7 linked regions of the Rattus norvegicus genome follow. The protein of the gene in region 2 purifies or fractionates together with the protein of the main gene of each other region. This does not show direct contact. Links are inferred from orthologs where the notes say so. Each region holds a gene or a part of one and is shown on either strand. Other genes may lie near its edges. The genes, in order: Lamp2, Hif1a, Stub1, Hsp90ab1, Ubc, Sumo1 and Septin9.

Region 1 (3,539 bases), on a different chromosome or scaffold from region 2:
AAGAGAGCGAGGCAAGTGGTTAACTGTTTGAATCCTTTCAGTCTATATTGCTGAAAAAGAAACATTTTTCTTAAAACCCCAGGATGGGAATGGTCAAATGCCTGTGACCTTAGCATTTGGCCAGCCAAAGCAGTTGGATCTGAGCTTGAAGGCAGCCTGGACTACATAGTAACTACCAGATCAGCCAGAGCTACAGAAAGACTCTTTCACATCACCAACCACCACCACCCCCTCCCTAAAAAAACCCCTTCTAATTAAGAAGTCAGTCCAAGCTCTGTTATAGCCTCCTGAGCCTGTTTTTAACCTATGAAAAATCACAAGTTTGAGAATCAATTTCATATTTAACTTGAACTCAAAAGGCATCAAGTCATAATCTTTTCAAAAATGTAATACTTAGCTGGGCAGTGACAGTACATGCCTTAATTTTAGCATTTGGGAGACAGAGGCAGGTGGATCTCTGCCAAGTCCAAGGCCAACCTGGTCTACAGAGTGACTTCCAGGACAACAAGGGCCACACAGAGAATCCCTGTTTCAAAAACAAACAAACAAACAAATAAAAGCCCTCTGGTTCCTCTTAAGATCTTATTTTTTAAAAAATGTGGATGGCCCTAAGGGGTCTATTTCACCCCCCTAAAAAGCAAGTCTGGCATATCTGATAGGTATCTTAAGTATATGCAAAGGCACAGTAGTGGTGAGTTTAAATTAGGACAGCTGTTACAAATTGAAACAGAACACCGGTGGTGAAGCAGTGTTTATTAATTCCAGTAAGATACAACTCCATATATCTTTTCTTATAACGGTCATGTTAATAAGTTTAAGGCATTTAGGTTAGGATCCCAATTTGGCCAAAGCTTCTTAAGACAGACCTTAAAACATCACACACGTGTATTCATTTTCTCCTTTTTTTAAAGCCAGTCTGCATTTTAAGCAGATCAGAGAATGATTTTTTTGTTTTTTGTTTTTTTGTTGTTTTTTGTTTTTTTTTTCAAAAAAAGCCTTATCTCAAATTGTGGGGACTGATTTCCAAATAAAAGTTCCAAGGAGTCTGTCTTAAGTAGCAAAGTGTTTCATAAACTGACAGGTAAGACAACTTTGTTATTTGTATGTATTTTGTAATATATTCAATCAGATTGTAGGTGCTAAAATTGCTCATATCCAGTATGATGGCGCTTGAGACCAATAAAATAAGCCAGCAACACTAGAATAAGTACTCCTCCCAGGGCTGCTCCCACCGCTATGGGCACAAGGAAGTTGTCTTCATCTGCACTGCAGTCTTGAGCTGGATGTGGAGAAAGGACAATTGAGAACAGACACAATGGCATTTCATATGTCTCAATTTTAAGTTAAACTGACAGCCCTTCCCTCATATACAGAATTTTACATCAAAATAACAAGTCATTGGCATTCATTATCAGTAGTGACATATGATATCTAATGAGTTGACCCTCAAAAGTTTTTTTTTAAATCAACAACAAAAACACCCCCAAAACAACAAAAAACCCAGTAATTTCATGCAGTTCCCCTTCATAAAAAAGCAGTCATTGGGGGGAAATACATATAGTGATCACACACTCCCAGGCTTCTTCTAGAAATTTGTTTGCCCTTGATCAGCCTAGAACTTTAAGAGCCAACTATCACATTGGATCCTGAATGTTAGAGAGCACTAACTCAGCAAATAAACAGCTGTATAAAGCAGATACAGAGCTCAATGCATAATCCTATTATTGAGCTCACTTAATAATAAGGAAAGATAATCTGGCCCTGTTGGCATTAACTGCTGGCTTCATCACGTGTATGTAGTCGAGGAAAAAAGTAGTATTTATCACTACTGGTAGGAATGTTTGGTTTAGCAAACATGGAAATCAGTATCAAGTTTCGAAAGAAAGAAAGAGAGAGAGAGAGAGGGGGGGGGAGAGAGAGAGAAGGGAGGGAGGGAGGGATCTGGAAAAGGGACAAGTCAGGAAGGGAGCACGTTGATAGAAATAGGAGGGAAATACAAAGTTGCAGGAGAGTTCTGATGAGAAGACAATATATAAGTATATCAAATTTTCAAAGAAACAATTTAAAAATTAAAAAGAGAAATGCCACATATACATAGTGATCAAGGAATTTCACTACTGCTTATGTATCCAGAGAATATAATTTAGTATATAAAAACAAAACAAAAACCTTAATAACAGGATTACCATATAAGGTAGCTATCCCACTCCTGAGTAGGTATCCAATAAAGGAAATCAAAGTCAGAGATTCTTGTACATTCATATTTACTACAGCACTAGTCACAAGATGTATTAAGACCTAACTCAGATGTCCAACAAGTAAATAGATAAGGAAACTGGATGAATATATATATATATATACATATACATATATATATGAATTTTATGCAGCCATTAAAAAAAGTGCAATTGTGTCATTTGCTGGAAAAACTGCAACTGAAGATCATTATCTTAACCAAAATAAGCCAGACTCAGTAAAATATTACTTTTGATATGCAGATTTAAATGTGTGTGTAAATAGAAAGGAAAGGAGAACACATGAGGGGTGAAAAAGCTTCTAAAGAGGAAGGAAATGGTAAGATGTGTGGTCTATAGGTAAAGGCTTATCGATGCCATGGAAGCAGGAGAGGCTATTTGTCAAGAAGACTCAGCAAGAGAGGAACAGGAAGGACAGGAAGGTACTGGGGAAGAAGAAATGAGAACAGCATATAATGCAATCTATGTATGTATGGAATGCTATAATAAAACACAGTATGATCACTTAGATCACTAGTGTGAGAGTCAAACACAGAAATCAGTAGTTAGAAATTCAAGATGTGCTATGGTGGGACAAGCAATACCCAAAGTATCATGGAAATATTTCAGGGACCTCGTCAACTCAGTTTAGTTAAGTAAGACACTTTGGAAAGGCAGCATTTGATGTGAGTTTTTAAGACAAAGAACTAACCATTAATTGTAATTGACTATGTAGATAATGGGAGGGCACTGCAGGTGTAAGAAACAGTGCAGAGAGCCAGTGGGGGGGGGGTGTGCACACTTTTAATCCTAACACTCAGGAGGTAGAGGCAGGTGGATCTCTGAGTTTGAGGCCAGCCTGATCTACAGAGTGAGTTCCAGGACAGTCAGGGCTATCCAGAGAAACCCTGTAGAGAAAAACAAAACAAAACAAAACAGTAATAACAAATATAAGCAAACCAAAAACAGTGCAGACAAAAACGTGGACAGTAAGAAAACATAAAAACTCCAGGAGCAATGCCAAGGAAGGTGACATAGAACAATGGATGGAAGCCAGAAAAAGTGTATTTAAGACCAGCTCACAAAAGTACACTGTTCGGTGGTTCTACCTTATCGCACTGGAAAAACCAACAGTAACCGGAATTCAATGAGGGCACATTCCAGAATCGCAGATAGAAGACTAGGCAGTAAGCTAGGGGCCGCCTCTATTGCTAGCATCCACGAGATCAATAACATAGTCCTGAACTGGGCTCATGACGGGTAGGTGCAGTAGGGAGACCACTGAGCCATTTAGAAGGTAAAATT
Region 2 (4,017 bases):
AGGTGATTTCTGTGAGCTGGAGACTAGCCTGGTCTACAGGGAAAGTTTCAGAATATCCAGGGCTGTGTACTCTTTCTCAAAAAACAAAACAAAACAAAACAAAACAAAACACCCTAAGCAGCTAACCAACTAAACAAACAGAGAAGTGATCTGTGAGAGGACTGATGTATGTGTTCACTGTTCTCTAGGGAGCAGGGTCAGAACTTCAGTTGGCTACACAATCTCTGTCTATAACTAACAGGCTATACAGCTTGCAGCAAAAAAGAACCAACAAGACAGCAGCAGAATACACACTACGACATTAGCATGTACAAGGAATACTGCCTAAGAAGATGCTCTTAGGCATCCTCTTAAGAGTGAGTGTATGCAAAGGCACAAGACATTCAAAACGAACATGGAACTCTTGGTTAGGAGTGTTTGGGACCATATCCAGATGGGTGATTCTCCTACCTCCTGATTAATTTGGTGAACTGAGAAGAGACTAGACAGTAAATACCTTTCCTCGACATTTTAATACATTAAGATTTAACTGCACATGACAGGCAGGCGTTCATATATAGTCCAGGTCAGCTTTCTTGTCTTATCTTCCCAAGTGTTAAGATCACAGACATACAATACCACACCCAGAATATACTATCTTTTGATAAATAAAAAATCTCCTTCCACCTATAATACTACAAGAAGCAACGGATGCATTTCTAATAAGAGAATGGCATGATCTGATCCTCACCTTGGGAAGCCTTTAGATACAAAGGATATACAGGTAAAAAGGCACAAATCTGTTGGCAGAAATGCAGCTTAAGAGTTTATGGTTGGGGCTGGGGATTTAGCTCAGTGGTAGAGCGCTTACCTAGGAAGCGCAAGGCCCTGGGTTCGGTCCCCAGCTCCGAAAAAAAGAACCAAAAAAAAAAAAAAAAAAAAAGAGTTTATGGTAACAATTCAGGCCAAAAGTAATGAAATAAAGAAGGAGCACAAGGTAGATACAATGGGAGAGACAGTCAAACAGTGCATTTATAATATTTACCACAAACTGCACTTAGTCAGGTTTCAACAATGCTATGTCAACAACATTAGGAATCACCAGAGGAGCAGCAACTTACGCTGTCTGGGAGCAGGAGAGTAGTTTAGTAGCAGAAGTATTCATTCCATTACTTAGAAAAGGATGTGGACGGAAACATTAAGCTGGCAATTACATAAGTAGTAACAGACTTGGGAAATGGTAACTAACGGGTGGAATGGAAGGTGCTCAAGGAGAGCATGTAGGCTAAAGGCCAACTGTTGTTGCCTACTCTACAGAAACTGTGTATCTTTAAAAGTTACTTTCTCAATTTAAGCAAAATTCCCTAAAACAAAAGAACTTCCTGGTTTTTGTGTTCACTGTTTGCACAGTACCAAGGCAAGAAGTCAGTGCCTTTTGCACATTGGACAAGTGGTCCACCTGACTTACATCCCTAGCCTTTAAAATGCTCTTTTGAGACAGCTGACTTGGAAATTACCTTCCTCCTGTCTCAGTCTCCCCATAGCGACATTACAGAAGTATACCACCAGATGTGGTCAAGAATTCATCTTAATGGATTTTGTATAATAGCTAAGTATAGTATTTATAGTAAAAAAGCTAATCTTACATTTTTGGATTCTAGTATGCATCTTCAATATTAAGCTTTATGAACACATCAATTAAGTTTTTACTACAGTGAGGTAAAAAAAATTAAATCTAAATTTTAAAAATATAAAATAGTTAATTTACCTTTCATCACAGTAAGAAAATTTCATATCGAGGCTGTGTCGACTGAGAAATGTCTTGCTGTCTAAAGGAATTTCAATGTTTGATGGATGAGGAATGGGTTCACAAATCAGCACCAAGCACGTCATAGGCGGTTTCTTGTAGCCACACTGCGGCTGGTTACTGCTGGTATCATACACATGAATGTGGCCTGTGCAGTGCAGCACCTGTGAGTAAGAAAATAAGCAGTTACCTTTTTAAAATGAAGAGGAGAGGAAAGCTGCAGAGATGGCATAGCAGTTAAACATTAAGAGATAATGAGGTATTCTTAAGAAGGCACTGTGAGGTAGGATGCTAGATGAGCCAGAGGTTTGAATGCTGACTGTTTTTCCAGAGGACCAAGATTTGATTCCTAGCACTCGCATGGCAGCTTACAAGCATCCTATTTCCAGAGGATCCGACACCTTCTTCTCATCTCTTAAGGCACCAGGCATGCATGCACTGATATATACATGGAGGCAAAACATCCATGCACATAAAATAGAAACTAGGGATCACTTATAATCCAGAATATGGATCTAATGCCCTCTTTTGGCCTCTGCAAACACATACACTTACATATATCCAATTAAAACACTAAAATACACACAGACAAACATACATACACACACATGTTGTTTTTAAAAAGAGGTATCTTTGTATTAAGTCTAGGCTATCTTTCCTTCTTCACTAATCTGGTCATTTCAGTTGATTTTGCTCTGGTAACTATGGTTCAACACTGAACAAGAAAATGAAACTGAATATTAGAATTTAAATACTAGTTGGTAAAGCCAACTAATAAGTTAGCTTGGTATAGAAATACCGTATTTCCAATAATCTATGTTTATATCTCAAATCAGCAAATTATTATACTATTTTGAATGGAGATTACATATACTAGATATAAATGCAAACATGCAAAAGGGAACAATTATACCTTTTCCTTCACAACTTCTATCTGTATGTATGTGTGCACGCTGTGTGTGTACCTGGTGCCTGAAGAGGTCAGAAGAGGATACTACATGTTCTGGAATTGGAGTTAGAGATGACTATGAGCTGACACAGGTTCTTGGGACCAAGGCCAGGTGCTTGGCAAACAAGTGCTCTTAATTACTAAGCCCTTTCTCCATTCCCCTCATAACTCTAAGCAACTCATTTGGAGGGGTTATGTTTATTTGTTTTGCTTTCTGAGTGGGGCTCGCTGTGTTCCCCTGGCTGGCCTGGAACTTGCTGTGTAGATAAGGCTGCCTTCAAATTTGTAGCAGCTGTTTTTCTGCTTCCCAAGTGCGAGGGCCAGCTAACTTTCAGCACTCCTGGTGAAAGCTCTTGATACTAGCATGTAAGTGTATAGGTTTATTTATCTATAAATCAAGCCATACTCAGTTTACTTACCTTCCACGTTGCTGACTTGATGTTCATCGTCCTCCCCCGGCTTGTTAGGGTACATTTCATTCTGAGAAAAAAGCTTCGCTGCGTGTTTTGTTCTTTCCCCTTTCTCACTGGGCCTAATGAAAGCAAGAAACAAAGTTTTTTTCTTTTTCTTTTTTTTTTTTTTGGAGCTGGGGAACAAACCCAGGGCCTTGCGCTTGCTAGGCAAGTGCTCTACCACTGAGCTAAATCCCCAACCCCAAGAAACAAAGTTTTAAGTCCTAGCTAAACATAGAAATCTGTTAAAATGAGAGCAGCAAAGTGAGGACCTCAGCATTAACACAAGGATTTGCTCCCTCTTCACCCACTCCCACACATGGTGGGTCTGACAGCTCCATCCAGTGAGAGCAGTTAAAGACTGCAGTGATTCCCTGAACTGTGGGAGGAGCCCACACTTTACATGATTAATTTACTCATCTGTGCTGGTGAGTTCGGTCCAAGTAATGAAAATTAAAAAATGGTATAAATTTACCCTGTTAAGTGTGCTGTCGGTATATAAGGATGTCCCCCTAGAAAGAACCTGAATAAATACTTCAATGTCTTTTACCAATTGTGATAACTCAATTTTGAATAAGCAGCAATGTGTTTATAGAACTTTAAAAATGCCAGCTTACCTTTTGTAAGTGAATAGCATATGTGTGTATGAAAACCAGGCAAAATTCTATCAGAAGTTACAGAAATCAGCCATAATGGTCCATGTCAGCACTCTCAGCACTAGGGAGGCTGAAGGAGGAGGATGGAAAATTCTAGGCCAACTTGAGCTACATGAGACCTTGTTTACGATTTAAGATTACAAAATTAGGGGCTGGGAATGTAGTTTAATGGAC
Region 3 (4,545 bases), on a different chromosome or scaffold from region 2:
CTCAAGGTCTGCCTTTACATCCCAAAGGCAGGACTGATCAGTCCCGCCTGGCTCCCCCTTCTTGTAGTGGACCTGCCTTTCCAGGAATATGTGGAGCAGCTGCTGCACCCCCAGGACCCCGAATCTCTAGGCAATGGTGAGCCAGACCCAGGCAGCAGTGGGAGTGGGACACTTTGGAGCCCACTGTTGCCAGTACCCCTGCCTGTCATCTTCTCTGCTGGCAGACACCCTGTACTTTTTCGGAGATAACAACTTTACTGAGTGGGCCCCACTCTTCCAACATTACCGTCCACCTCCATTTCGTCTACTGGGAACCACCCCTGCTTATAGCTTTGGAATTGCAGGTAGGTGCTCCTTTCAAACAGATTTGGGGGAAGCCCGTATATATTTTGTTCATCAGCTATTCACAACTGACCCCACAGGAGCTGGATCTGGGGTACCCTTCCACTGGCATGGGCCTGGTTTCTCAGAGGTTATCTATGGTCGGAAGGTCAGTGCAAGGGTGGGGCATGAATTTGGTGTTTGTAGTCCATAGCACATGAGAGTGACCTTAACATTCCTGCCTCCAGCGCTGGTTCCTCTACCCTCCTGAGAAGACACCTGAGTTCCACCCTAACAAGACCACGTTGGCCTGGCTCCTGGAAATATACCCATCTCTAGCCCCATCAGCTCGGCCTCTAGAATGTACCATCCAGGCTGGTGAAGTCAGTAGCTGGTAGGTGGGGGTTGGGCTAACCCAAAAACTAGGGAATCAGACTATTTTTCCGTGCCCCTTCTCCCAGGCGCTGTACTTTCCTGATCGGTGGTGGCATGCCACACTCAATCTGGACACCAGTGTCTTCATATCCACTTTCCTTGGCTAGCCAACAAGCGACTGGCAAGCCCACTGCACCAGCACATGCCAATGTAGTGCTCACAGACTTTATTACAGGACAGTGGCAGCAGCAGCAGCAACCCACCCTCACCAGCTCTCCAGCCCAGAAGGGAGACAAGGGAGGCTCATGGCCCAGCAAGGGATATGCTGAGAAGGGGAGCAGTTCAGAACCCATCATCAGGACCGATGGGGGCAGGCCCAGGGACACAAACTATATACAGGGACTGGAGCTTCTGCCTCCAGACCCTCCTGGGCCAGGGTGCCAGGCAGGACATGGGGTATCAGTAGTCCTCTACCCAGCCATTCTCAGAGATGAAAGCATCAATGACTTCCTTCATGGCTAAGTTGGGGATGAGCTGTTCCTGGGTCAGAGGGCTCCGGGTCACAGGATCGAAATGGCCCACGCGCTGCAACGACAGAGTCAAGAGTATTCAATGGCCTGAGTGTCCCCTGATCCCAGTCCCGAGACCACAGGCCCTCCTTACCTGCAGGTGCTCCTCAATGTCCTTGCGGTCATAGGTGATGCCACTGGGTGTAATGCAGGGTTCCCGCATCAGCTCAAAGCTGATCTTGCCACACAAGTAGTCAGGGATATCTCGCTTCTGCAGCACAAGAGGGAAATGTCTGCAACTGGAAAGGAAGTCACCATACCAGAGCCTGCCCATGAGCTTCAAGGCTCCGTCCTTACCTTTCTTTTCTCATCCACCTGAGAGAAGAGCTCATTCATGTCCGCCATGTATTTATCCTGCAGAGTTGAGCGCCATGTGTGGGCAACTCCTGTCTCCTCCACACAGACACACACACTCTGTCCACCGGGGCACTCATGTCATGCATGGGCCAACAGAGCCACCATAGGCTGGGGCACTTCTCATGCCACACACAAAAACACACACACAACGACCCACATGTGGACTAGGGGCACCCTCACGTGCTTGGCCTCAATGCAGGCCTGCTGGGCCCTGATGTGGCCATCATCCTCATCACCCTCGTGGTTCCGCTGACACTCTTCCAGTTCCCTGAGGGTCAAGAAAAAGCCAGCTGGTGATGGCCCCAACAGGGAAATGACAGATCCCTTCCCATCTCAGGCCTCTTTCCTCCCGGGCTTCCCATGTACCGGCTGCTGTCCTTTAATAAACACTTGCACTGTTGACTCGGTGTTAACTGTTGGGGGCGGGACCCACCTCTCTCGCTCAGCAGCAATGAGCCTGGTGAGATAGGAGTGCAGCTCACTCTCCTGGTGGATGCGCCGTTCCTCGATACTGTTCCAGCGCTTCTTCTTAGCAATGCGAAGGGCACTAGGAATATCATCCCCAAAGTTGAGTCGCTGCTCCTTGGCCAAACTATAGGCTGGGGGAGTGGACACTTTAGGTTACACTTGTCAACAATCCTGGCCCCAAAGGTGCCCACAATCTGGCATCTTGTCAGCCCACCTCGCTGCAGATTGGCAATGGCCTCATCATAACTCTCCATCTCTAGCTGGCACTGCCCCAGGAAGAAGTGCGCCTTCACAGACTGCCCATCCAGCTCCAGGGCTCTCCGGCAGTCAGCAAGTGCCTGTTCAGGCTGCTGCATCTTCAGATAGCACAGGGCCCGGTTGGTGTAGTACACTGCCACAAGTGGGTTCCGGGTCTGGGAACCAAGATCAGGTGACAAAGAATGTGGGCTCATCTGATCCCCTCTCTAATAGCAAGCTGAAAGCCAATGATCCGGACAATTCTCCAGCATTGGGGGCCCATGGGTGGAAGAGAGGAACTGGAGATTTCCGAGTTATCAGAGCTCTGGATTCTAGCCATGCTCTCTTGCCTCCAACTGTTTTTGAGAAAAATCCCAGAACCCCTCCACCAGCTTTAGGCTTGGGAGCCTCAAGGGGCAAGAATTTCTGGTGTCATCCTTAGCTTGCCTCAATCAAGCATCCCGCCCGCCAGTCCCCAGTCAATCTGCCCTGGATTCGGGAACAGCAATCCGGGTCTAGGCTGCCAGAAATCGTCCGGGAATCACAGAACTGGGAGGCACATCGGGCCCCGCCCCCGCCCCCGCCCCCCGCACTCACGATGGCGCGGCCGTAGCAGGCCGCCGCCTCCGGGTACTTGCGGCCCACGAAGAGCCGGTTTCCCTGCTCCTTGAGCTCTTGCGCACTCGGGCTCTTATCAGGGCTGCCGCCGCCACCAGTGCCCAGCCGCGCGCCGCCCTCCTTTTCCTCCTTGCCCTTCATGGCGCCGCGCGGCACGGCTTGGGCTCCGCGCCCGGCCACCTAGATCTCGCAGCCCGCGCAGCTATCAGCTCCGCCCGGTCGGCGATCCGCCACCGGAACTTCCGGTGTGGGGCGGGGCTGGCATGGGGACACGTGAGCAAAGGCGGAGCCTCGCGGATTGAGCGGGTTCGCTTAGCCCGGAGAAGCTACCGCTGCGCTCTCTACCGGCCCCGCCCTACAGTAACTAGGACCTACCCTCAATATTCAGACCAAGGCTCCGCCCATTGGCAGTCAAGCCCCACCCTCCGGCCCACGCCACGCGAACGTGGCAGCGGTCCGTGCTGGAGAAGTGGCGCTCCGAGGGCCGGTCACTAGGCCCAGGTCCTAGCGCGCCACCGGGGCGCACGCGGGCTCATGCGGCAGCCTGGGAACGTCTAGACCGCTGGTAGGACGGCGGAATTGAGGGAAGGAGAGAGGCCCGCAGGTCAGACCACCCTCGAGAGGCTTCCTCGGGAATCGGGAGAAGCTGCCTGCGGCCATTACTGGCTGAGAAACAAGCACGTGACGCGTTGACTCGAAAGGACCTGCTGCGGTTGCTATAGAGGTAGCTGCGGGTCCGCGGCTGGACGCTCCCCTTCTGCGGTCATGGGGCGGAGCTTCTTCAAGGGCGGTGCCAGCAGGTTTCCGTGGAGAGAGCCTGCACCAAGACCCTTTGACCCCAGGTCTGTAGATGAGGCATTTTTAGCCGCTGCTGCATCAGCTGTTGGCCGCTAACATCCCCCACCCGGGACTTGGAGAAGCAAAACTCGGCTTTCTGCCGATCTGTGCGCCGCAGTCAAACTTCGCTGCGTGGTTTCTGCCACTGCCTCGAGTGAGTAGGGAGCATCTTTGCACAAGTTGGGTGGGGGCTCTAGGAACTCAAAAAAAAAATGTCCCCAGAACCTCCTTGTCACTCTTTGCAGTGGCTACAGTTCCTGGCTTGCTAACGCTGCAGCATACACTCAAGTACTACTTGCTGTTTCTAGCCCAGGTGCAAGAGCTCACTGCATTTCTGAGCAGGGGCCTGAGGGGTCACCCAGGACCCCATCATGGTTCCGATGGTTAGTAACTCGACCCCAGAACTCTTGTAGATCTCTAGTGCCTTAGAGCTGTCTGTAGACGCTTCATCTTGTGAAGAGAGCACTGCAAACTTGGACTATGGGCAGATGTATGCCCAGACCTGCTGCCTGAACTTCACCCCAACTGGTTCTCCCATAAGGACTATAGACCTGCCAAGAATTACAGGACCCAGGCCAAGTGAACCTGGCTCTGTCTCGGGCTTGCCTTTGGAAGGGAGGCTGCAAGAACCGGGATTGGAAGCTCTTGGAGCACAATAAACGACTGCTGAACTTGGACTGACCCGGAAGTCCACAGTCTCTTCCCAGGGGCCCCACCTCCTGTGGATTCCGTCCCTGGCCAGGAGTGAAGCCACCACCTCATG
Region 4 (3,390 bases), on a different chromosome or scaffold from region 2:
GGGGCCGGAAGCAGCGGGGAAAGAAGGCAGTGCCCACTGAGCCTGCAGTGCAGAAGGTGTGAATGAGGACCTCCATTGCTCTCATCTGCTGAGGCACTGGCTCAAGGGCAAATTATTTCTCAGTGTCTCAGCACACAGCAGAGGGTTGGAGTCCTGGAGGCAGCCTCTTTGCCTTGCCTTAAGAGCCCCACTTCACCAAGTGACAGCTGTGGGTAATGCAGCGTTCCTCCCCGCTACCTGAGATCTTGACTTAGCTGGTGGCCAGGCAAACCAGCAGCAGGCTCATCCCCTTCTAACACCCACCCCTTGAGGCTGCCAGGCACCAGCTGGGAAGTAAATTGTTTACAGGCCATGCAGTTACCCCTAGGGGCTAGTGAGAATGGTGCTGTGCCAGAAGGGACAAAGGACTCCCCCCAGCCCAGTTGGGGCCCCCAGTGTTCCTTGAGCAAGTTTTGGTTACTTGGAAATGTCACCTTTTGCTCTATTTGATTAAACTGCAGCAGTGATTTTTGGACCTGTGTTTTGGTTCTGAGTTCAGAAGCACAAGTGCCTCTCATCATCTTCCAACTCAGGGAGCCCAGAGTCCTGAGTGTTACTTTACAAGGAGAGCAGGACTGTATAAAACTGCATCATCTTTATTTTGCATACTTTTAATTTCAGAACAAAATAAAACAAACAAAAAAACACAATACACAACACCCAACCCTGCTATTCTGTGGGAGGGGATCTTCCTGCCTTAAGGCACAAGGACAGGATAGAAGAGATTCTTGTAGACATGAGCAGAGAGCCAGGTGGGTCAGGGCCAGTCAAGGCTGTTGGGGGAGCCACAGGGATACTATACAGAGGGCGGGGGCTTCCCAGGAGCCTTTAATCCACTTCTTCCATGCGAGAGGCATCCTCATCACCCTCCAGTGGGGGGATCTCATCGGGAACAGCAGCACTGGGCTCTTCTGCAGTGACCTCATCTTCATCAATGCCTGAGAAAGAAAAACATGAGATCTAAGCCACAAAGCATTAAGTCTGTCCAAGGATCCAGCCAGTTCAACAATTTGTCACAAGGTGCTTGCTCACAAGGCTGACTTGACTCACCCAGGCCTAGTTTAATCATGCGGTAGATGCGGTTGGAGTGGGTTTGGGGGTCCTCAAGTGAGAAGCCAGAGGAGAGCAGAGCAGTCTCAAACAGCAGCACCACCAGGTCTTTGACAGCTTTGTCGTTTTTGTCTGCCTCAGCCTTCTGCCGCAGAGTCTCCACAATGGGGTGGTCAGGGTTGATCTCTAGGTGTTTCTTGGCCATCATGTAGCCCATTGTCGAGTTGTCCCGCAGTGCCTGGGCCTTCATAATCCGTTCCATGTTGGCTGTCCAGCCGTAGGTGCTGGTCACAATGCAGCAGGGGGAAGACACAAGCCTATTGGAGATAGTCACCTGTGGACAATCAAGGACAATGACAATTGTTGGCCATCATGGAACTGCTATGGAAAAAGTACCTTGGGTTTTTTTGTCAAGAATAGCAGATGACGGGGTTGGGGATTTAGCTCAGTGGTAGAGCGCTTGCCTAGGAAGTGCAAGGCCCTGGGTTCGGTCCTCAGCTCCGAAAAAAAGAACAAAAATAATAAAAAAAAAAGAATAGCAGATGACTAACCCCCTACCCCTACATGCTGTAGAGGCTGAAGGTAGCTTGAGTACTGCAGAGATTCAAGGATAACCTGGGCAACAGTAAGGTCTTTTCTTGCATGCATACATTAGGTGGAATAACTGTTAGGAGTTAAACAGTATTAAATATCCCTGAATACTGCTAGTGCCTGGTCTATGCTGTAATAGCAGCAGACTAAATCCAAGGGAAGACTCACTTTTTCAACCTTCTTGTCCAAGATCTCCTTCATGAGCTTGCAGAGATTCTCAAACTTTGCCTTGCTCTCCTCCATTTTTTTCTTCTCTTCCTCATCCTCTGGTAGCTCCAGGCCCTCCTTGGTCACGGAGACCAGGCTCTTGCCATCGAACTCCTTGAGCTGCTGTACGCAGTACTCATCAATGGGCTCAGTCATGTATACCACCTCAAAGCCCCGTTTCCGCACACGCTCCACGAAGGCAGAGTTGGCCACCTGCTCTTTGCTCTCACCTATGGGATTAAACAGGACTCGATGGCCAAAAGGCCTTCACGCCTCCACTTCCCCTCCCCAATTCCACAAGACAGCTTTGATCAGAACCAAGCTCCAACATACCAGTGATATAGTAGATGGACTTCTGTGTCTCCTTCATGCGAGACACATACTCTGACAGGGAAGTCATCTCATCTCCAGACTGAGAGGTATGGTAGCGAAGGAGCTCAGAGAGGCGGCGACGGTTAGTGGAATCCTCATGGATTCCAAGCTTTAAAGGGTAGGGCAACAGAAAGTTCAACTATGAGCTGGGAAAAACACCAGCCTAAATACAAAGTAATGGAGAGAGCACTTGTTCATCTTACCTTTAAATTCTTAGAGAATGCCTCATAAAATTTCTTGTAGTTCTCTTTGTCTTCAGCCAACTCAGAGAAGAGCTCAAGGCACTTCTTCACAATGTTTTTGCGGATGACTTTCAGGATCTTGCTCTGCTGGAGCATTTCTCGGGAGATGTTCAGAGGCAGGTCCTCGGAATCAACCACACCACGGATGAAGTCTACATTGAACCAGACAGAGCACAGGGAACAGCTGGATCAGAGTTAGTCCAAGGACTCTGGATCAGTATCTCAGCTGTATTCTGAAGGTCTAATATAGGTTTGCCTGTATTGCACATCTTAAACCCAGCAAATACTCACTGAGGTACTCAGGTATCAGCTCATCACAGCTGTCCATGATGAACACACGACGGACATACAATTTGATGTTGTTCTTCTTCTTCTTGTTCTCAAAGAGGTCAAAGGGAGCTCGCCGGGGAATGAAGAGCAATGCCCTGAATTCCAACTGCCCTTCTACAGAGAAGTGCTGAAATAAACCCAGTAGTACATTTTAGGACAGAACTGCTTCAAGCCCCAGTATTAAACTTTTGGCACCGAACACTCACTGTCAGTGCCACATTCCTAACAGCCAACACCAAGTAAGCCCAGAATGCTAGTAGCAAGGAGCACCCGTGCCAATCAGCTCCCAGTATACTTAGTCACGTGGTTCTGTGGCTCTCAGCTTGGTACCAACCAGTTAAGCAAGTTGTCCCTTACCACCTCCAGCATTCTATGTACCCCTCCTTACACAACATGTAAGGCTCCTCACCTTGACTGCCAAGTGGTCTTCCCAGTCATTGGTGAGGCTCTTGTAGAATTCACCATATTCCTCTTGAGTGATGTCATCAGGATTTCTGGTCCAGATGGGCTTCGTCTTATTCAGCTCTTCCTGGTCAATGTACTTCTCCTTGATCTTCTT
Region 5 (4,288 bases), on a different chromosome or scaffold from region 2:
TTGCCTTGACATTTTCAATGGTGTCACTGGGCTCGACCTCCAGGGTGATGGTCTTGCCTGTCAGGGTCTTCACAAAGATCTGCATGCCCCCTCTGAGGCGAAGGACCAGGTGCAAGGTGGACTCCTTCTGGATGTTGTAGTCTGACAGGGTGCGGCCATCTTCCAGCTGCTTGCCTGCAAAGATCAGCCTCTGCTGGTCAGGGGGGATGCCCTCCTTGTCCTGGATCTTTGCCTTGACATTTTCAATGGTGTCACTGGGCTCGACCTCCAGGGTGATGGTCTTGCCTGTCAGGGTCTTCACAAAGATCTGCATGCCCCCTCTGAGGCGAAGGACCAGGTGCAGGGTGGACTCCTTCTGGATGTTGTAATCTGACAGGGTGCGGCCATCTTCCAGCTGCTTGCCTGCAAAGATCAGCCTCTGCTGGTCAGGGGGGATGCCCTCCTTGTCCTGGATCTTTGCCTTGACATTTTCAATGGTGTCACTGGGCTCGACCTCCAGGGTGATGGTCTTGCCTGTCAGGGTCTTCACAAAGATCTGCATGCCCCCTCTGAGGCGAAGGACCAGGTGCAGGGTGGACTCCTTCTGGATGTTGTAGTCTGACAGGGTGCGGCCATCTTCCAGCTGCTTGCCTGCAAAGATCAGCCTCTGCTGGTCAGGGGGGATGCCCTCCTTGTCCTGGATCTTTGCCTTGACATTTTCAATGGTGTCACTGGGCTCGACCTCCAGGGTGATGGTCTTGCCTGTCAGGGTCTTCACAAAGATCTGCATGCCCCCTCTGAGGCGAAGGACCAGGTGCAAGGTGGACTCCTTCTGGATGTTGTAGTCTGACAGGGTGCGGCCATCTTCCAGCTGCTTGCCTGCAAAGATCAGCCTCTGCTGGTCAGGGGGGATGCCCTCCTTGTCCTGGATCTTTGCCTTGACATTTTCAATGGTGTCACTGGGCTCGACCTCCAGGGTGATGGTCTTACCAGTTAAGGTTTTCACAAAGATCTGCATTGTCTATGGAAAAAAAAACAAAAAACAAAAAACCAAAAAACAGGTCAGGAATGACACAAATTCTTTAGAGTGCCACCAACCGTTGGATCTGTGAGGTGGCTAGTAGTTTAGTCTAAATAGCTACACAGACTGTTTTGAATTTTACCCCCTAAAACCAACAAGAAAATAAAAGTCTTGATGGAACAAAGTTATGAATATTAGGCATTGTCTATTACCAAGTTGGCAGGGTGGAGCGTTCAGTACGGAACTGCTGAAAGTCAGTCCCTGACTATTTGCAGTTTGGAGAAAAGCCTGACCCACATTTCACCTTGGGGGAGGGGGGTTTAGGAGGACCCACTCCAAAGAAGTCAGAAACTCAAGAGCTTAGAAGGCAATAGTTGGAAATCCCGGATTCAGGTCCCGACTGGTAGATAGAGCCAGTTACTACTACAAAACTGAACTATGTTCATATCTTTCCTCCCAGCACTGGGGACACTGAGGTGGGCAGATTTCGTGAATTGGGAGGTCAGCCTGAGACAGTGAGATCCTGCCTCAACTCTCCTTCCCCCAAGCTTTTGTCTGAACAATTAAACAGTAGTTTACTCTTACTCTTATCCTCTTAACCTCTTACTTTCACCCCATCTGTCCCTTCTCTCCCCATTCTCCTCCCTGCTCTCTCTCCACATGTTCCGACCAGCTTTACTCCCTCCTCAACTCCCCTTCCCATGCCCTGAATAAACTCTATTAAAAAAAAAAGTAGTCTGGGGTAAGTGGCACTGGCCTTGGACCTCATCACATGGGTGGTAGAGGCAGAGATTTTTTTAAAGTTTAAAACCCTTGTCAGGCTGGTAAGATGACTCAGTGATTAATAGCACTGACTGCTCTTCCAGAGGTCCCGAGTTCAATTCCCGGCAACCATATGGTGGCTAACAACCATTTGTAATGAGATCTGATCACACCTCTTCTGGTGTGTCTGAAGAAATAAATCTTTTTTTTTTTTGGTTCTTTTTTTCCGGAGCTGGGGACCGAACCCAGGGCCTTGCGCTTCCTAGGCAAGCGCTCTACCACTGAGCTAAATCCCCAACCCCTGAAGAAATAAATCTTAAAAAAAAAAACACCCTTGTCTAATAAATAGTTTCCGCAGCCATATCCGTGTAGCGAGACAAGGAAAGACTCAATGTAAGTCAGGCTCACGTTCCCCCTCTGAATTTCCGGTTCCTGTTTACTCTGGAGAGGCTACCCGAGGCCGAGACCCAAACCCGGTCCTACAACTGAGGGAAAGCTAAAGCCATCGTCACTATACACTGTGAGACCACACAAACCGCGACGTCACAGGGGCGATAGGCTAGGCTGGACCGCCACCCTCCCCCTCCCTTCCCAATCGCACTCCTGTATTTAGCAACCGACGAATTCCGGATAACCGACATCTCCCTCCCGTCTAATACCCACAGTTCTCACATCAGAGGCTCCTACAGCGCGCCAACCGAATTCAGTTCCCAACCCAAGCCTCTGACGTTCCCGGCTTAACCGGCGGCAAGCGGCCTCGCGGGCCTGCTTCCCCCAACCTGGTCCAGCGCGTCAGGACCGCGCGTCTTCCCCCTCAGGCTTCCATTTGGCCGCCATCTTGCCGCCCGGTCCTCGGCCTCAGGACAGCAGCCGTCCTCGCGGGCCACGGAAACCAAACGTCCGGGCCGCGGGCTGTCTCTCGCCCCCTCCCGCCTCCCCGCCCCCGCCGGGTGTGGCGGCTTTCTCCTCACCAGCGGTGTTGGCTGCAGTCCTCACAAAAGAGTAGAGACGGAACTGGCGGTCTCCACGGAACTAGCTGCGGGACGCGAGGCGTCTCTTTATATAGTCATCGGGAGCCCCGCCCACCCCTGGATTCCTCCGCGGAAATGCGGTTGGGGACTACTTTTTAATGCCCGGTCCAATCTCTGCAATGGAAGCGACAGGCTAAAACCATTAAGATCGCTTCATGGGGTTGTTCCACTGCGAAGGCCAGAGAGTGAGGGGCTTTGTGTGGAGGGGCAGGACTGCGACCTTGCGCGACCCCGCGGAGGGATCAGCGCCTGTGACGTGATCGGCGCTAAAACCCGGCAGGGATCACTGCAGCCGGAGCGGACCTCGGCGCAGGCGCACTGTGGCTAAGCGAGCCGGAGACCCACCAACTACCCCCCACCCCCTCCGTCAAGGGTCCCAGTCGCCTCTTTCTGTTAGGGGGACCTAGGGCTTTGGCTCTTGTTACACTGATATTCCATTGGTGGCCTCGGCTCCTAAGTTCCCTCACCTCGAGTCGGTCGTCACTGTGCCCAGCCCTCTTTGTTTTGGCACGGTGACAGGATGGATGACTGTGCAAATCTCATAACAAGGGAAATGACAACGGTTTTTTTTATTTTTTATAAAAAAAATGGGGGGGGGGGGGATCTCTCCCCAGTTTGGGAAAACGAATCTGAATTCGTCAAGAAAAGCAGTCAGTCCTCACAGTTCTTGAAAACTGTTGGCATTAGATCTGAAGCCCAGTGGGCACTAGATCTTTCCAGATTCTTCCTAAGTCTGTTTATGTCTGGTGTCCTTGGATTCGAGAAGGTTCTGTTTTCTGTTCGATTGTCACTAAGGAAAGGTCAAAATATCAAAATGTTGTTCATATTCTGAGACTGAACCCATCGAAATCCTATTTTTTTAATTTTTGTTGTTCAGACAGGGTTTCTCTGTATAGCCCTGGCTGTCCTGGAATAGGCTTCGTAGACCGGGCTGGTCTCAAGTTTACAGAGATCCTTCTGCCTCTGCCTCTAAGTGCTGGTCTACAGGGCTACACAGTGAAACCTCGTCTTGAAAAAAACCAAAACCAAACAAAAACCCACACACACACACAAAAAGTACACGTTTAGTACAATGTTCAGATTACAGCAAACATATACCCCACTTGTAAAATTCAGCCTATTCAGGTTTTTGAAATGTAAGGCCTGAGACCTTAGAAGGTAAGAATTGAATCCCTAGGGTAGAGAGATGGCTCAGCAGTAAGAGCAGGTCTTCTTCCAGAGTTCAATACTGAGCAACCCTGTCAGGCAGCTAGCTTACAAAGGCCTTTGACTCCAAAGCTTCTCAAGGCTTCAAGGAGGTCCAATGTCCCTAGGGGCACTCACATACATGTAGCATGCACACACACAGACACACACACTATTAAATGCCTTTAATCTCAACCTTTTTCTTTTTTGAGATTTTTTTTTGAGACAGGGTCTCCATATGTAGTAGCCCTGGCTACCTTGGGACTCATGACATAGATCAATCAGGCTGGACTCTTAACTCGTAATGATC
Region 6 (4,593 bases), on a different chromosome or scaffold from region 2:
ACTAAAGGTACAAGTTGCTTTTGATGATTTAGTATAAAAAGGAAAACAGTTTTCACTAAACTATAAGGAACGGGAAATAATGGTTCAAATTAATCTTATCATTTTGATATGCTTCTGGTTTTAAAGAAATGTGAAATTAGGCTAAACAAATTTCTATTAATGGTTATAGAATGATCCTCATTCTTTGGGAAATCATGTACCAATGATGGGACCTATAGTACCTTCTTTTTAAAAAAACTGCATAATTCAGTGAATTCTCAAGGTTTAGGCATTAGATTGTGATCTATTTTAGATATAAAGATCCACTCATTTTAAACTGAAATTATGGCAAGACACAGTGGCATACACATACACCTGTAATCCCAGGACTCAGGAAAGTAAAAACAGAAGGATCACTGCCAGCCTAGATACACAGTGAGAGCATCTCAAAACAAAGAGAAAAGCTGAAACTATTACTCAATGTGACTATTTTAAGCACAAGATACAAGCTTCTAAGAGTTGCCTCAGAAAATAAAATGTGCATGGGTACTGGAGGGCATCTTGTATTCAAGTCAAGCACATTATCGAACCCCCCAACTTGAAAAAGTACCCTCTAAGGCCACCTTCTGAAGACAGCTCAGTCTCAGGCTGTTGCTATTACACACAGTACTTGGGGATTCCTACTCTCACTTATAAACCTCTTACAGGCAAGGATTCACTTAACCGTTTTCTCCAAATCTTTAACACTCAATACTGAACTTGTTCTGGGAACTAAGATTAATGTTATCCATCAGCCTAAAGCAACAGCTCCCAAATCCATTATCACACTCTCAATGATTTAAAAACCTATCAACCCAGCTGTCGTGGTGGTATACACTCTGGGAGGCAGAGGCAAGGCAAGGAAAATCTGAGGCCAATCTGATCTACATAGCAAGTTCCAGGACAACTAAGGCTACACAGAGAAACCCTTGACTTGAACTAAATAAACCCCTAAAATGTTAGATACATTTTTATTACTTTTTTTAAAGACAAAAATTTTAAGAGTAGCAGCACTATTTCCTATGCAAATTGCTTTAATGTGTAGCTCAATTTAAAAAAAAAGACTTGTTTTGCCAACTGTGGTGGTAGACATCTTTAATCCCAGCACTCAGGAAACAGACACAGGAGAAACTGAGTTCCAGGCCAGGAAAAGCTACATAGTTAAGACCCTGCCTCAAAAAAAAAGATTTGTTCTACTTTTTTGTCATGTTTCTAAAATTTTCATTGAACATCCATGATAGAATGAGAAACACACACACACACACACACACACACACACACACCAAGTGTGGCAGCATAACTCTGTAATCCCAGCTACTCTGCAAGGCTGAGGGAGTCCAAGTTCAAAGACAAGTGTGTTACAGTCCAACCTAGACAACTTAATGAAATGAAGTAAAAGGAGAAATGAGGGTTTAGTGCCTGCCTGGCAAGCACATGTGGGAGGCCCTAGGTCCAGCACCCAAAGACCCCAAGTGAGGTGAGAGAGTCCTAAGCAAGCATAGAGTGACTTTGCAGACTCCCTGAAACCTTGTGTCCTAGGGTCCTCTTTTCTTTCTTCATATCCTCACATAATGTAAGTTCAAACTAGAGCAAAACTAATCCTAAAACTTAAAACTCTTTCTGTATGTTGCCCTCTCATCTGGCTAACATGCTTTAAAAATAGAAGTCTGATGAAGCATAAGCGTTTACACAGCTGATCTCTCCTCTCTGGTAACTAAGTAAACAACTGTCATAAACAAATTATGGGCTTCATAAAGTCATTTCTAGCCCAAAAGATTAATAATCCAGATTATTAATAAGTAAATCCATCCCACAACTAATTTACAGTGTAGATAGGCTATAAAAATAGAACCACTATGGCCAGTCTGGGGTGGTTGCAAGCCTTTCATCCTCAGGAAACAGACAGGCGGATCTCTATAAACTGGAGGCCAGCCTCGTCTACAGAGGGAGTTCCAGGACAACCAGGCTACACAGAAAACCAACGTCTCAAAAAAAAAAAAAAAAAAAAAACCAACAAAAAAAATTTTAAAAAAGCTCAACTACAATGTAAAGTAGAATGAAAAAAGTTTGCTGAATTGTAACTAAAGAAGTAAAAATTAAAAAAAAAAAAAATACTCTGAAAATTAAGTCATCTGACCAAACAAAAGGAAAGCCAGACAAAAACCGTATGGATGGCATGTTGGTGGTGGCACTCTACGCAGTTTGTTGTTTCTCGGTTATTCTGAGCGCTCCTACAACTGGAGAGTTGATGGACCAATCCCGAGTAAGAAATGGAAAGTACAGAGAAAGAGTCGACCGCTCCGCACCCCCGGATGGAAAAATGACTCTGAAGTGGGCAAAGACGGACTGACCCTCCAGGCAAACACAACTGAAAAGCAGCGTCTCCTGGGTTCCCAGTCACCCCAAACAAGGATCCCTGCCCGCCCCCCACTCTCCGGGACCAAGAACCCAAAGTAGAATCGAGCTGCTTTTCAGGGCCACCTAGCCTCCCAGGCAGGGATTCTCTCCCGTTACATAACTGGGCCTAGGGCCTTGTTTCTGCCATCGGTCCTCTGAAAGGGAAACGGTCGTTTTCCCCCAGGTTGCTCTCACGGACAAGGGAGCGGGCCTGGGCCCCCAGCGAGCCCGAGAGAAACCTGGGAGCAGTCGAAAGAGACCCGGCGCTGGATGGCGTGGGGGTAGAGGCCTCCGAAAGGGCCGCGGAGGGTGCGTAAAACCCGGAGACCCTCGATCCCAGGCGGCTCGGCCCGACTCTGCCAGGCGCTCGGCGTCCCTCGCGGCCCCCTCCCCACCGGCAGCCCCCTCCCCCAACATCACCCCCTCCCCCCGCGCCCCATTCCAGGGGCTCAGCCAGCAGCCGACGGCCCTGAGCCCCAAGGCCGTGGCCCGGTACCTGGTCAGACATGGTGTCGGTGGATTCACCCGGGGGTCTCCGCACCACAGCGGCCTCCGGCAGGCAGAACCGCACTCTGAGGTTTACAAATCCGTCTCTTCTCCACAGCACAACACCGCGGCTGCAGGGACTTCCGCTACGTCTTGCGTCACTTCCGCAGCGCGCAGAGGAGAGTTTGGGAAGACGGGAAAGGGAAGCGGGAAAACGCCTTAGGGAATGCGGGAGATGAAATCGTCAAGGTTAAGCTACTTTCCTGGAGCAAGAGAACCGCTAGGTCTTCAGCGGGGCCGGGAAAACCGGCCCGCTGCCTCAGGCCTTAGGGAGACCAGCGCTTTGCCTGCAGGCTGTGTGTGTTTGGGGTCAAACTGACCGCTTAGGCTCCTCCCTGTTGGACATCTTGTACGCTTCTGAGGCCGGAACCAACTCTTCCTGAATATAGTGAATTCCCTGTATAATATCTTTATGGCCCCCTCTTGCTTGCTGCTGCCACATTCATGACTTTGATTACTAGAAATACAATAGTAACAAGTTTTCATTTTCTACAAGAGAGAAAGTGAAAGCGATTTGGAAGCCACTAGCATGTCAGAGTGAATGAAGTTAACCACAACGAGCTGAGTTATGGTGGCGTACTCCGAGTGATAGAGGCAAGCAGATCTCTGTGAGTTTGAGGCCATCTTGGTCTACAAAGTGAGTTCCGGGACAGCCAAGGCTACATGGAAGAACCCTGTGGGAGTCTAGGGGTGGGGCATGAAGAAACAACCCTTCCGGTCACATCTTTGGTTTTGTTTTGTGTTTTGAGGCAGGGTCTCACTAAGTAGCTCTGGCTATTATAGAACATTGCTAAGTCAACCAGACTGGCCTCCTCTTGCCTCTGCCTCCCCAGTGCTGAGATTAAAGACCTGGGCCACCACATCTCCAGCTCTAGAACAAAGTCTTGGTGGCTATAGATGACCAAAATGCTATTGAAAGTTGAAGTTGCAAGAGCTCCCTCCAGCTCATAAACTAGTTGCCTTACATCATAGACCTAAACATCTTCCTTTGAATACAGTGACCCTCTTGCACAAACATTCAGGGAAGATTAAGGTTATACTAAGTAAAGGGGGGAAAAATGAAAACTAAAGTAAGTCAAAAACCTTCACAGTACAAGACATTAATAAAATAATCTTTTCTGTAATTAGTAATGAGCCGATTATAAGTGGCCCAGCAATCAAAGAGCATTGGCTACTCTTCCAGAGGACTCAGGTTTGATTCCCAGCACCCGTATATGCATTCAAAAATGCCTATAACTCTAGTCCCAGAGAATCTGATATGTTTTTCAGCACTGCACCAGGCCTAAATGTGGTTCATAGACACACATTCGGACAGAAACACTCATAAAAATTAAAAAATTATTAACAATTACTAATGAAAATATGAACATTCACATCAAAAGAAGGAATTTGAATTCCTATTTCATTGCACATACAAAATTAAAATGTTTCAACGATGTTTCTGTAAGACTATCTTAGGGTTTCTATTGCTGCAAAGAAACACTATGACCAAAAAGCATATTGAGGAGCAAAGAGATTATTTGGCTTACAGGACAGGAACTCAAACGGTTGGCACCTGGAGGCAGGAGCCAATGCAGAGTTCATGGAGGGTGCTACTGACTTACTCTCCATGGCTTGCTCAACCTGTTTTCT
Region 7 (4,620 bases), on a different chromosome or scaffold from region 2:
GCCAGCCAGAGCTCCCTGGGGGAGCACCTAGGTCCTACCCTCTCAGCAGAGTATGTATGCTCCAAGCCACGAGCCTGTCTGTCCAGCCTCACAAAGGGACTATGGGCCCCAGCGGTTGTAACCAACCTGGTTCTTTTCAACTGGCATAGCCACACACACCCTGTAGGAAGCCTGAGCAAAGACTGGATGCTTCTCCAGCTGAGTCTGGCCATGCTGGCATTGGGGAACACCTACCTCCTGTGACTCGACCCCCCCCACCCCAGGAGCACTCACTATAAACTGGCCCCTTCATGGCTCAACTTCCTAGCAGTCTCACCCTGAGATCTTCGCTGCTCACTGCCCGTGGCAGTCTGGTCAGAAGACTCTCCTCTTTCCCTGTCACAACCAGTTTTCTCCTTTGCCTCGAGGTCTTGTTTCCCCATTCCCAACTTCTCCCTGCTAGTCTCTGGAGACTTTTCCCGCCTGGATTCAGACTGCAAGCTTCTCTCCCATGGGCTGGGTCATAGTCTCTCCACATCCCTTTCTCCATTCAGCAGTCCAACCCCGACGTGTGCACCCTCTCTGCGCACCAACTCAACTCCGTATTCCTAGGACACTTAGATGTCACTTTTCAGGTTGTTCATCCAATGTATATAGCTTCCCTTGCATAAGTGCCACCATGAGCGTGCGCGCACACACACACACACACACACACACACACACACACACACACACTTCCATTAGTGACAGCCCAGGCTGTAATCTCTGGGCACTCAAAGACCTGACCCCATTCCCCAACTGAACTTTTCAGAGCACAGCAGGAAGACTGGCACAGGAGGGCAGCATGCTCAGGAGGCCCAGCATCCCTAAAACTGCCAACCTCTATACCAGGATGCTCTCAATGAGGCCATTGTCTTGGACTAAATTTGAGGGTCAAGAAGCTGGCTTGGGAGGCAGCCCAGTGAGGGCACGACACAGTGAGTAAGGAGTTGCACAGAGAAACTAAGGAGGCAGGGGCAGCTGGCCTCCACAATGCAAGGAACCAGCTGGCTAGACCCTCACAACCCCTAAACTTCTCCCTCCCCGACAAGACCTGGGCAGCATTCCCCAGAAACCCCATCCCCAACTCCTCAAGGGATGAAAGCAGACACCTGAATGCCCCTAGGTCCGGAGCAGAGAGTAAACACAGAGACCTGGAAAAGGCAGTGTGCTGCCCACCCCCCCACACCCTCACCCCCACTCCCCGGGCCCTCCACCTCCATATGGGTCAGACCTTGCAGAGAAGGGAACTGACTGGCTGACTTTCAGATTACACTTCCAGGAGAATGAAAGGCCCCCGGGGCAAAGAAGAGGTGCAGAGAGGGGCAACCCAAGGAGCTGGGACAGTCACCGGGGCATTCAGAAGGCACAAAAGCACAAAACAGGTCTGGGGGACCCCAGAATAAACATGGACTCCAAAAAGTCCTGGTGGATGGCAGCACAAGGACTCCCAAGCAGCAACTCTCTGCTTTGTATCGGCACAGAAAGTGCTAGAATCTAAAAATTGCTCCCACCACTGAGGTGACCAAGTTGGTATGATATTCCAGGCTACTCACCGCCTATATCTGTCAATACACAACGGATCGGCATCAGCACCCATTTCCCCCCAACTCACTCCCACCCCCGTCGCTGTGCACACACACCCTGACACACAGCTAGTCCCCTAACTCAAAGATAAAGTTGATCTCAGGTGGGCTCAGGACAAAATCCCTGTTTCCAGTCATGGGGCCTGGAGCACCCCCAACTGGTCACTTGTAGGGCTAGGGCTGGCTTGAAACCTGGCCGTCTTTAACTCTGTGGGGCCCTTCTTCCCTCCCTCACAGCCCACCAGAGGGCTCTGCCTAAGGCTGCCTGAGAGCCCCTCAAAGGGGCGGGGGCTCTGGGCCCGGCAGAGTCAGGCCCGCCCCTCGGAAACCCAGCCCCAGACGCGCGCGGGACACCATTGTGTAAGCCTCCCTTTCCACTGGCTTTATTTACTCCGGACGAGGACGCAGGACTAGGGGCCACGGCACCGGCAGTGGCAGTCACGAGGCCTCTGGAAAGTCCGCGCATGCAAGCCCAGGGAGGAGATGGCAGGCCCACCCTTGGAGGAAACGGCCCCCAAGTATCTCTGCACTTTGTAAACTCAGGACAAGAGGCGAAAGTACTGTCCTTGCGTGAGCACACAGGCCCCCTCTCTCCCAAAAGGCTCTTCTCTCTCAGATAGATAACGATGTCCCAGGCCTGGATCGGGGTGTTGGACATCCCACCCTGGACCCTGAGACTCGCCGGGCTGGGATCCCCTCGGATGCATGGGGCCTGCCGGCCGATCAACTTGGCAGCCCTTGCCAGCCCCGGGACTGGGCTCAGCCCCAACCCCGGAGATGGCGTGGGGGAGGGGAGGAGGTCCACCCTGAGGATTCGGCCTCCCACTGGATCTGAAGAGGGGAACTAACTCCCACGCTGGTGAGAGCTGAGGACGAGCACCAGAAGAAGAAAACCCACTGGTTTCCAGGGTGGAACTGTGCTCCCCCGGGTTGCTCCCAAGAAGTCAAGCCCGCCCTCGAGGAGCGACAGTCGCAGGGCAAACACAAACAAAAATAAAAAGATGAACGCCCCACAGGCAGCGTGAACCTGGGATCCCCGGGGGGTGCGTGGTCCCTAACTATATGGTCTATCATCTACAGGACCCCTTAATGGGGCTCTGCAAGTAGGCAACGTCTGGGACGCAGAGCCCTAGGGTGAGCAATCCGGGGTCTTGCCTCTCCTGTGTTCACCCCGTCCCGTCTCAGGCCCGCCTGGAGGCTCCTGCCCAGCTCGCCAAGCAACCCCTGGGTCGGGCACCCACCTTCAAAGTCTGAAATGATCCCGTCCAGCTGTGCGTTGACCGCGGGGTCGGACATGGTGGCTGGTGCGCAGGGAGTCCCGCGGAGACCGGGCCCTGCGCGCTCCCGCTCCCGGTGCCGAGCTGGCCGCACGAGCCCCTCGGCCCCCACGGTCGGCTGAATGAATGGGGGAGGAAGGCGGGCGCCGGCCCCTCCCCAAGCACCCGGGCCCCCGCCCCGCCCCCGCCTCCCGGCTGGATCAGGTTCCCGCACCCCAGCCGGCCTCCGCGACTCGGCACTGGCTGTTGCGCCCGCCTGTCAAAACTGGGCCTGGAGGGGTTGGAACCAGAGCTGCTTCTACAGGGACTGCAGAGTCCCAGGCACACGACCTAGGCTGGCCCCCCTTCTCCCTTCCTGGCGGGTGCCCAGGGGACCGCGACAGACACGGCCTCGGCCCCTCCCCCTCACGCCCCTCCGTGGCCAGATGTGGGCGGATGTAGAGGATGTGGAGGCCGGGCCACAGCAGCGGGCGGGCGCTGAGGGGGACAAGATTCCTCCCCTTCCCTGGGCGCAGTGCTCTTGCTGCCGGAGGTTTTATTTACGCAGCCAAAGTTCGTGAGCGCCTCCTTCGCGTAAGAGAACAGGGCCTGCAAGGGTTAAGCTGAAGCGCTAGGCTAGTCCGGAGGACCCTAGACGGTTGACTACAAAGACGAGGGTCCCAGGAGTTCCTTAGCATTCATACGTTGAGGACTGCTACCCTTGCACTCCGGGGGTCGCTGCGGCACCCTCTGGGTAGGTGCTACGGAAGGGATAGGGCAGGGAGAGGCGGCCCTTCAGAAGAATCATTGCAACGCCCCTCCCCCCTTCCACTGTATGGGCTTCCTGAGTACAGAGAGTGGACCACGACCTTCTCTCCAGAAGAGAGAAACCACAGTCCCTAACATCAGAAGGAAGGAAGAAGGCTGCTCCTGGGTCCTTTCCACATCAGTGGGTACCCACAGCCTGGCCTCTCTCTGCCCAAGTAGCCTTCACACTTCAGACATCTACTGGGCAAGCAGATAAAAACACTGGCTAGAAACAAAAAACACTAGTTACCAGGAAGGGTCCCCAGGGATGCGGGACGTGCTGAGGGGAGGGGGTGACGGGGGAAGGGTGTCTTGGGGAGAGGTTCACCACTTCCTGGATGAGCCAACAAGACTCCTGCCCGCTGGGCACTACCTTAGACCCAGGGTCTCTGTTCAGTCAGGGCTGCATGGATTCATAGCCAGGGACAGGGTCCTGCAGAGTGGGTAACTCATCCTTTGGTCCTCAGTGGTGCGTCCCTGAGCTGTCCTGGGTCTGGGTCTGCTCTCTCCCTACTCCAGCATTCTCAGTGTGGTAATTGAGGGAGGAAGCTGTGCTGAGACCTGCAGAGGTCGGTGAGGCTGCAGAGAAGGAGAGGAGGAGCCCGGGCTAGGTTTTGGTGAGACTTTTTTTTTTTTTTAAGCCTCTGGAATAGAGTCCTTCCTATTAGAAAATGTGCCCCTCCTCTCATGCCTCAGATGGTTTAAAAACTATTTCCAACCAAGCGAGCCTCTGGACATAGGAACTGTAAAACCACCACCATTCTAGATCGGATGCACCCGCATCCCATCTCTCTAGAAGCCTTACTTCCAGGAGCAGTGGGTACCCCACGTGGCTTCTGTCAGGGTCTCAGCCTGCCTGGCAGTCTGACCATCACCAGGTCACCTGCTGTCCCACGTCAGGGGATTTCAGGGTGCAATGTAAGCTGAGGCCCTTACCACAAAGCCCTGGGAAG

Evidence for each region.
Region 1: the proteins of Hif1a (region 2) and Lamp2 purify together in Homo sapiens (affinity purification with western blotting; 3 studies listed by BioGRID). This does not show direct contact. The link is inferred for Rattus norvegicus from reciprocal best matches to the Homo sapiens genes HIF1A and LAMP2.
Region 3: the proteins of Hif1a (region 2) and Stub1 purify together in Homo sapiens (affinity purification with western blotting; 3 studies listed by BioGRID, with this or other methods). This does not show direct contact. The link is inferred for Rattus norvegicus from reciprocal best matches to the Homo sapiens genes HIF1A and STUB1.
Region 4: the proteins of Hif1a (region 2) and Hsp90ab1 purify together in Homo sapiens (affinity purification with western blotting; 3 studies listed by BioGRID). This does not show direct contact. The link is inferred for Rattus norvegicus from reciprocal best matches to the Homo sapiens genes HIF1A and HSP90AB1.
Region 5: the proteins of Hif1a (region 2) and Ubc purify together in Homo sapiens (affinity purification with western blotting; 11 studies listed by BioGRID). This does not show direct contact. The link is inferred for Rattus norvegicus from reciprocal best matches to the Homo sapiens genes HIF1A and UBC.
Region 6: the proteins of Hif1a (region 2) and Sumo1 purify together in Homo sapiens (co-immunoprecipitation; 3 studies listed by BioGRID and IntAct, with this or other methods). This does not show direct contact. The link is inferred for Rattus norvegicus from reciprocal best matches to the Homo sapiens genes HIF1A and SUMO1.
Region 7: the proteins of Hif1a (region 2) and Septin9 purify together in Homo sapiens (affinity purification with western blotting; 4 studies listed by BioGRID and IntAct, with this or other methods). This does not show direct contact. The link is inferred for Rattus norvegicus from reciprocal best matches to the Homo sapiens genes HIF1A and SEPTIN9.

Annotation. Positions count from the first base shown.
Region 1 is NC_086039.1:122,043,394-122,046,932, forward strand, and holds the end of Lamp2 (lysosome-associated membrane glycoprotein 2 precursor), read right to left. Parts: intron 1,280-3,539; coding exon 1,140-1,279; 3' UTR 737-1,139; downstream 1-736. UniProt on the Homo sapiens protein: Lysosomal membrane glycoprotein which plays an important role in lysosome biogenesis, lysosomal pH regulation and autophagy.
Region 2 is NC_086024.1:98,387,185-98,391,201, reverse strand, and holds part of Hif1a (hypoxia-inducible factor 1-alpha), read right to left. Parts: exon of another isoform or gene 3,268-4,017; coding exon 3,155-3,267; exon of another isoform or gene 1,951-3,154; coding exon 1,748-1,950; exon of another isoform or gene 1-1,747.
Region 3 is NC_086028.1:15,354,371-15,358,915, forward strand, and holds Stub1 (E3 ubiquitin-protein ligase CHIP), read right to left. Parts: upstream 3,190-4,545; 5' UTR 3,087-3,189; coding exon 2,925-3,086; intron 2,504-2,924; coding exon 2,305-2,503; intron 2,222-2,304; coding exon 2,056-2,221; intron 2,023-2,055; exon of another isoform or gene 1,891-2,022; coding exon 1,803-1,890; exon of another isoform or gene 1,620-1,802; coding exon 1,563-1,619; exon of another isoform or gene 1,477-1,562; coding exon 1,360-1,476; exon of another isoform or gene 1,282-1,359; coding exon 1,156-1,281; 3' UTR 908-1,155; downstream 1-907. Other genes in the region: Jmjd8 (jmjC domain-containing protein 8), read left to right, coding at 68-136, 225-344, 423-490, 570-704, 783-863. UniProt on the Homo sapiens protein: E3 ubiquitin-protein ligase which targets misfolded chaperone substrates towards proteasomal degradation.
Region 4 is NC_086027.1:22,933,155-22,936,544, reverse strand, and holds the end of Hsp90ab1 (heat shock protein HSP 90-beta), read right to left. Parts: coding exon 3,241-3,390; intron 2,959-3,240; coding exon 2,793-2,958; intron 2,654-2,792; coding exon 2,463-2,653; intron 2,369-2,462; coding exon 2,221-2,368; intron 2,118-2,220; coding exon 1,849-2,117; intron 1,424-1,848; coding exon 1,090-1,423; coding exon of another isoform or gene 978-1,089; coding exon 868-977; 3' UTR 750-867; downstream 1-749. Other genes in the region: Slc35b2 (adenosine 3'-phospho 5'-phosphosulfate transporter 1 precursor), read left to right, coding at 1-62. UniProt on the Homo sapiens protein: Molecular chaperone that promotes the maturation, structural maintenance and proper regulation of specific target proteins involved for instance in cell cycle control and signal transduction. Undergoes a functional cycle linked to its ATPase activity.
Region 5 is NC_086030.1:36,899,012-36,903,299, reverse strand, and holds the start of Ubc (polyubiquitin-C), read right to left. Parts: upstream 2,801-4,288; 5' UTR 2,734-2,800; exon of another isoform or gene 2,171-2,733; intron 1,001-2,170; 5' UTR 998-1,000; coding exon 1-997.
Region 6 is NC_086027.1:68,599,840-68,604,432, forward strand, and holds the start of Sumo1 (small ubiquitin-related modifier 1), read right to left. Parts: upstream 2,965-4,593; 5' UTR 2,924-2,964; coding exon 2,912-2,923; intron 1-2,911. UniProt on the Homo sapiens protein: Ubiquitin-like protein that can be covalently attached to proteins as a monomer or a lysine-linked polymer.
Region 7 is NC_086028.1:102,974,834-102,979,453, reverse strand, and holds the start of Septin9 (septin-9), read right to left. Parts: upstream 3,159-4,620; 5' UTR 2,901-3,158; coding exon 2,846-2,900; intron 1-2,845.